Tamandua tetradactyla: one gene and its partner. The protein of the gene in region 1 interacts with the protein of each later gene in a pairwise test. Links are inferred from orthologs where the notes say so. Each region holds a gene or a part of one and is shown in the gene's direction. Other genes may lie near its edges.

Region 1 (3,748 bases):
CTGTAACTGTTGGCCAAAGCTACAGAAGAAACAAGGGTGTCAAAGCCGAAGGCGGCGACACGGATAGCGGCTTCACCTGCCTGCCGTGACGGCAGAAGTGAACTGACTGAGGACCGGAAGGATGGTGCAGTCCTGTTCCGCCTACGGTTGCAAGAACCGATATGATAAGGATAAGCCCGTTTCTTTCCACAAGTAAGTGTCCTCCGTGCCTCGCGGGACCGGCCCCAGCTGGGACTGGGGACGCGCGATCGGCTAGTGTCGGGGGCGGAGCCCGGCGCGGGTCTGCTTTGAGACTGAAGAGGGAGCGGAGGCAGGAGCAGGGGGCGGAGGCAGGGGCGGGGCGCGCCGCGTCGGGGGCGTGCCGGGCGGGGGTCCTCGTGGAGAGGCGCGGCTCCTGCGCCCGAGCCGCGCTCTTCCGGGCCGCGCGCGTTCGCGGTGCGTTGCCGCGGTGACCGTTACTCGTGGTCGGAGAGGCGCACTTGTGTCGCTTGCTGACGGACTCGTGGTGGCGAGTTCCGAGCCCGTGGGCGAGGCGCCGAGTCCCCTCGGGTGCTGAGATGTCGAGGCTCTCAGATCCGAGCCCTGCAGAGTGAGGTGGCGGTAACTCCTCAGCGGCGTTTTTGAAATAGAAACAAAGACATTTACAAAGACGGTGGACGTCAGTTTTTCGTTCCTGAGAAACTTTCTGTGAATGGGCGGCCAGAATCGCAGCAGTATGGATTCATTTTCTGGCCAGGATTTGAGGGAGCGTTTTATTAATTTTTTATTTAACTCAAAGGAACAACGTCAGGGACTCCTAAGTCTTAGAGGAAAGCTTCTGGTACTGCCACGATAACTGATTGTCTTTTCAGCACACCGTAGTCGTAATATGGACCATAATAAATGCCGTGATAAAGGTCAATATGAGGTACTGTGGGAACATAGAGGAAGCCCTCGCAGCCTTCAGGGCTGTTTTATCCAGTAGGTGCTGCAATTACAACCTTATGGCGAAAAATATTGTCTTCTCAATGGGAAAACTACAAAATCGAAATTGAGTTGATGTTGAATGTCTACAGCGTGGGCCATGACGGCATTTTTATTCAGCCAAACTTAGTATTTACAGATTTTAAATTTACGTTAAATTTTCTTTGCGAGAGCTTCCGAATCTACATAGATAGCTGAGAAATCAGAGCAAATAGTAAAATATCAAAAATTTTTCATATTCAAATAATTACAAAAGCCAAATTTTAAGTATTCTTTGGGGTGGGGGGAAATAGAGAGTGGGGATTACATACTGTTTATGTTTAGTCGGGGATGTGGATGATCTTAATCTGTTTGATATAATGTGAGATTGACGCTACAGAAATGGGAGCCTAGAATGTAGATCTTGAAATGGAAGCTTAGAACATAGATTCACGTAGGAGGGTATAGAATACTTGCAGGATTCAGTTCAGTAGAGCCTAATATCTCTTGATTTATTGTAATCTCAGAACCCTAATGACATTGACTTCCAGTAGGAATAGGTCAGATATAGTGCCACTATCGTTTGCATTCAGCTCCCCATCCACGCATTTCTGTTGATACCTCACCTCAGAGGGAATCTAAAAACTCTTCCTTGGCACTGGAAAGTGGTTAAGGATGACATTCACACATTAGAAACATTGAATTTCTGCTGGATATTAAAACGATTGATTCTAAAGAACAGCTAACTGCATCTCACCCCTTACCTAAACAGTATTTGGGGAAGTAGATGGGAAAGATCTTTTTTTTATGAAAAAACGTTTGTTTTATGATTTTTTTATTTAAAAAAATTACAGAAACACAAACATTCCCAAAATGTGATCATTCCATTCTACATATATAATCAGTAATTCACAATATCATCACATAGCTGCAGATTCATCATCCTGATCATTTCTTAGAACATTTGCATCAATTCAGAAAAAGAAACAAAAAGACAACAGAAAAATCAAACGAAAACAGAAAAAAAAAACATACACACCATACCCCTTACTCCTCCCTTTCATTGATCACTAGCATTTCAAACAATTTATTTTAACATTTATTTCCCCTATTATTTATTTTTATTCCATTTGTTCTACTCATCTGTTGACAAGGTAGAGAAAAGGAGCATCAGGCACAAGGTTTTCACAATCACATAGTCACATTGTGAAAGCTATACCATTATACAATCATCATCAAGAAACATGGCTACTGGGACACAACTCTACATTTTCAGGCAGTTCCCTCCAGCCTCTCCATTTCGTCTTAGATAACAAGGTGACATCTACTTAATGCATGAGAATAACCTGCAGGATAACCTCTCGACTCTGTTTGGAATCTCTCAGCCATTGAGATGGGAAAGATCTTGACAGAACCTCACACACAACCTGAGAATTTGTACCTTGGTTCAGGAGGCCATATGCAGCAGGGACCCTCTTAGAAGTACCTTTTCTCCCAGTTTAAACTTGTTGACAGCAGGATGAGCTGTGCTGGACAAAGAGGGGCGATTGTCATTAAGATCAGTTCGCTCTTAATGATAATAGCAGTAAGGCCCTGGCATACCTTAGATGAAAGAGAAACTGTAGAATAGAATATAGGTTTGAAATATGCTTTTTTGGCTTCTTTGAAATCCTCCGGGTTTACTAGATCTTTGACCTGGAAAATAAAATTACAGTAAATTTAAATTCTTCTTACCTCCCTTTATCTGGGCCTAAGGGAGATACTCCATTTACTTAAGAAGTAAGTCAAAATAAAGACATAATTTTCTTTATTTCTTTATCATTATCATTCGCCTATAATTTGATTAATTCAAATTCCATCTGTTCATATTTATCAGATTAATTCTTGAGAACTAGAAGAGTTTTCTTCCCAGCACATAGATATAAATGTGCAACTTTATTTTACAGCACACACATACGTACAGAAAATTACTGGTATAAACAATACTACAAATTCACTTTATGACAAGTATATTGTTTGAGACTTTGTGTCTTCAAATAAAGTTAACTTTAATCAATGAGCTAAATAGATATATGGAGCTATTCTTTAAACAAAAGTTCTTTAGTATGTTAACACCAATGTAAGGTAGTGCTTTTTTTTTTTTAATAATGTCACAGAACTGAGTTATGTCATCTTCTTAGGTTTCCTCTTACACGACCCAGTCTTTGTAAAAAATGGGAGGCAGCTGTGAGAAGGAAAAACTTTAAACCCACCAAATATAGCAGTATTTGTTCAGAGCACTTTACTCCAGACTGCTTTAAGAGGGAATGCAACAACAAGTTACTGAAAGAGAACGCTGTACCCACGATATTTCTTTGTACTGAACCACATGACAAGGTAATTGTGTTTTAAAATATTAGGTGCTTTCCTGTTTATAAAACTAATGTATGTATTGTGGGAAATTTGGAAAATTCAGAGTAATGTTAAGAAAATAAATACTACCTAGTACCCATTACTTATAAATAACTACTATTAACAGAAATATACTGTTTAAAAACATAAGATGCAGTTTATTAAATAAATATTTTCTTTCTTAGAAACATATATTGACTTTGTAACTTAAAGATCATTCTATAACCCTTCTTGTATGTTGGTAAGTTTGGGTTTTTCTTTATCAGCCCATAGTCTTTTGTTCCTCAGTTTTAAGCACTTAGTACATATTTAATTAAATTGAAGTGCTTGTTCTGCCTGTTTATTGCATCATGCTTTACTTCAGGTAGGAAAGTATAACTAAAACTTAAACTGTTTTCTTGTTTTGGACAGTTTC
Region 2 (3,748 bases), on another chromosome or scaffold:
ATCCTCCCCAGAATCGTGAACACTCCTGCAGACCACCCTGGCGTCTGCATTGCTGAGGAAGTGGCAGGCATCTAATATGGACGCTGCCCCTGTTGCCCCACCACCACCCCCAGCCAGGTCCCGACCCTGAGCATCTGCTCTGCAACCACAGGCACCACGACTCTAACTGCCCCATCCCAGGCTGTTCTCAGTGCCTGACATCAATCACGATTCAACCTGCCAGAAGCACTGCAAGGCAGGTACTGTCCTCTATATTTCACAGATGGGGAAATGGAGGCACGGAGTGGTCCAAGGACGGCTGGAGGTGTAGAGCTCGGGATTCTAGCCCGCCAGGCTGACCCCTGAGTCAGCAGCCTCCAGCTTATGCTTGCCTCCCGGACGCCCCCAAGCTGGGTCTTGGAGAGATGACCTTCTGAGTAGCGGTTGGGGTCAACCCAAACTGAGTCTGGGTATGACGAGGGAGAACTTTCGGGCAGAGGCAGGCCACCCGGGCGGAAGGGGTCTCTGTGGTGGTGGGCCGGTCGGGGGGTTTGGTGAGCAGGGCTGTGGGGTGGGAGGTTCTGCTGGGTCACCCGTGTGAGGGAACGGGCTCGAAGGCGCCAGACACAAACCCAATACTGCCGGACCCCCGCAGAAGCCTCAGAGGCAACGCAGGGGCCCGCGACGGGGCGTAACACGGCCCCCGACCCGGGACCGGCGGACCACCCTCCAGGGCCCGGCCCCTTGCCCTGCAGCCTCTGCGTTCCCTGCAAACCCCCGGGGCTGACGCGGCCCGCAGCTCCTCCTCGCGGTGGTTTCTGGTACTGCGAGTCTTCCGGCTGGCACGGGCCGCGGCGACGGTCAGTTTCGGGACTACACTTCCCAGAGGGCTGTGAGCGCGCGCGGGGCAGCTTGGGAGTCGTGGTCCGATGCAGGGAGCGCGCGCGGGGCGGACGGGCGCGGGAACTACGCGCCCCAACATGCAGCGCGGCGGCCGCGGGGTTGGGTGTTTGAACCGAAGGTCTCCCACCCGCGGCGGGGCTGCGCAGGCAGCGGTGGGCTGGGAGTCGCTGCGGTGTGGGAGGCAGCGGCTATCGGGTTGGGGTCCCAGTCGGGCTGCCGGGACTGGTGCGGCGGGCGCTAGGGCGCCTTCCCGGTGGCGATGATGGGCAAGGAGGAGGAGATTGCGCGGATCGCCCGCAGGCTGGACAAGATGGTGACCAAGAAGAGCGCGGTGAGGGGCGCGGGCCGCCAGGAACCCGGGACCCCCGCCCCGTCGAGGCCCCGCCGTCCGCGCCTGGGGCCCCGAGCGGCAGGACGAGACCCCGTCCCGGCAGAGCCTCGGGACGCGGGGAGACCCCCGCCTCAGTCCGAAGCCCCCGCCCGGGGCCACCTCTGCCTTCAACCCCGCGCCCCCGGCACTGACCGCGATCTGGCCCGGACCTTTTCCCGTGAACCGCCGGGCCGGAATTCAGACCCCTCCCGCCACACCAAGACCCTCAAGCCTGGGCTGTGACCCCCGAGCGCGGGCCAGTGGAAACTTTCCTGGGGTTGCCCCGCCCCCCTGGCCTTCCTCCCTTCCTGCCTGGATGGCCTCTCTGGCTTTAGATCTCCCCCTCCTCAACCCTGGTTTGCAACTCAGAGCTTCTCTCAGCCCAGGTTCCCCATCCCTTTTCTCGCCTCCGTCTGAGCTCCTCACTCCCTTAGCCCCTTTCCCCGCAGCTACCAGTGCCTCCCCTAGGTCTTCCTTCTCATCCCTTTTCACAGGCCAGAGGCCTTTCCAGGCAGCGACCCCCTCACCCCCATCCCCAAAGTCCAGGTCTTTAATAAACGCTCCCTCGCTCCCTTAGCCAGAACGCAGCCTGCAGCGACTTGGGGGGGGGGGTCGATGTGTAGAGATCTTCAGGCTGAAGCCTGTGGGCTTTTATAAGACCCCCGAGGACCCACCTGAGTCCTTTGTTACTCGGAGGCACAGTGCCATGGCCGCTAGGATGGCCCAGGATGCTGGGGTTGCCCCCAGGAGGTCACTCAGGAAGCATCCTTGGTGGGTTGCACCTGCCCACAGGGTAGTGGGGAGGGGTCACCGCGGTCCTGCCGCAGACAGCAGTGGCACTCTGCTCAAGAAACATGACCTATTCTTCCTTCAGACTGAGCTCCTGGGGGCGGGGCCTCTGGGGTGCACTCATGGGGCGCCTCCAGGGGTGTCAGCTGCGGCTCTGCTCTCAGGCCTGACCCAGGGGGTGAGTCATGGGCCTGAGATACCTGTGTAGACCTCCAGGCTGGTTTGGGAGAGGTTTTGGGTAGGGTTGAGTCTGGATCTCGGGTGACGGGTTCTGGGCTGGGGTCTGCCTGGGGATGCATGGGGAGGGGCGGCTCCCACTTGGCCCTTCACCCAGTCAGAGTTGGGCCTGCTCGGGCTTTTGTCCTGGGGTCTGTGCGCAATGTGCGTGAAAGGACCAACAGAGAGCCCAGGCGAGGCTGAGCCTTGATGTAGCCATTTCCAGAAATGACTGCGGGACGAAGTCGCTTCCCCTGGTAAAGGAGACAAACAGGATAATGCCCAAGCTGGGTGTGTGTGCCAAAAATCACGGGACCCAGGGAGGGCGCACTGAGGGTCGTGTCTAGGTGGGAAGCTCAGTCCTCAGAAGATGGGGAGAGGGGCGGGTGGGGGTGGGGGGCTCCACCCGTCAGAGTCTGCAGCTTGCCTAAGCGTCTGAAGTCCCTCCGGAGATGTGGGGCTGTGTTTGGGGAAGCCAGAAGTCGTTGCCGCAGCCATGGCTCCCACACCGACATTTTTATGCCTCCTCTGGTCCCCAGGAGACTGGTTGGGGATGAGTGGTGGGCGGGGCTGTCTGTCCCTTCCGAAGTCACCCCAGGGGTGGGGCCTGCTGAGCAGAGAGGCAGCCTGGGGTGGGGGTGGGGAGTGTCCAGCTGAGCCGCCCACCCCCCCCCCCAAAGCCTCTAGGCTTCAGGACCTCTTAACTCTTATTCCCTTGGGTGGCTGGGTTGTTGATCCCTCAGGGGTCATCCCTGGCCCCCTGCCCTTGTCTGGTGGGGAGAGACATGTCAATATGGGATAAAGTGATGCATCTGGAGGCAGTCAAGTAGGGTGGGCACAGGTTGCAGTTTCAATAGGAAAAGCCTTGCTTAGGTAGTGTCATTGGAGCAAAGATTTGGAGGAAGGATAGAGGTGAGACCTTTAGTACTCCAGGGAGGCGTGAAGGCCCTGAGGCATGTGGCTTCCGCTTAGCTGGGACTGGGAGGGACTCTGCGCCTGAGTGCTGGCTGGCAGCACCAGGGGTATTGGAACAGAAGAGCTGAGGGGATGCATCTGCCAGATTGGGGGCAGGGTCAGAGGAGGAAGACCCATGGGATCATGGCCCAGGTGAGGGGTGGAGGTGCAGAGCTGGGCCCACCAGATCAGCCGATGCCACTGAGGGTTTGTCCTGAGCAGGAGGACATGCCCCTGGTGGGGTCCTCAGTAGGGAAACCCACAACCTCTGCCCAAGACATGGGGACAGGTGGGTGGAAGACACAGGACCACACCTACCTGGGTTGACTGTTTGTTCCTCTGGGCTGGCCATACTGTCCCCTGAGATGTGGCTCTCAATCACCTGCTGGGAGGTGCAGTGCCCCACAGATGCTCTTCTGGGCCTCTGTGGGGTCTAGATTAGAGAGTGATGTAAGGTGGTTATGAGGAAGTTGTCAGGTTGGAAGGCTGGGCTGGATTGTCCTTCTCATTCCTGCCCCTCCGGGCTGATGAGAGGCA

What was found. The genes of interacting proteins can lie anywhere in the genome.
Region 2: the proteins of THAP1 (region 1) and TCEA2 interact in binary tests that used the Homo sapiens proteins (3 or more experiments, as listed by UniProt). The two-hybrid records come from large-scale screens. The link is inferred for Tamandua tetradactyla from reciprocal best matches to the Homo sapiens genes THAP1 and TCEA2.

The regions. Positions count from the first base shown.
Region 1 is NC_135329.1:18,331,135-18,334,882, reverse strand, and holds the start of THAP1 (THAP domain-containing protein 1), read left to right. Parts: upstream 1-856; 5' UTR 857-868; coding exon 869-960; intron 961-3,122; coding exon 3,123-3,318; intron 3,319-3,748. UniProt on the Homo sapiens protein: DNA-binding transcription regulator that regulates endothelial cell proliferation and G1/S cell-cycle progression.
Region 2 is NC_135327.1:61,526,700-61,530,447, forward strand, and holds the start of TCEA2 (transcription elongation factor A protein 2), read left to right. Parts: upstream 1-952; 5' UTR 953-1,141; coding exon 1,142-1,213; intron 1,214-3,748. UniProt on the Homo sapiens protein: Necessary for efficient RNA polymerase II transcription elongation past template-encoded arresting sites.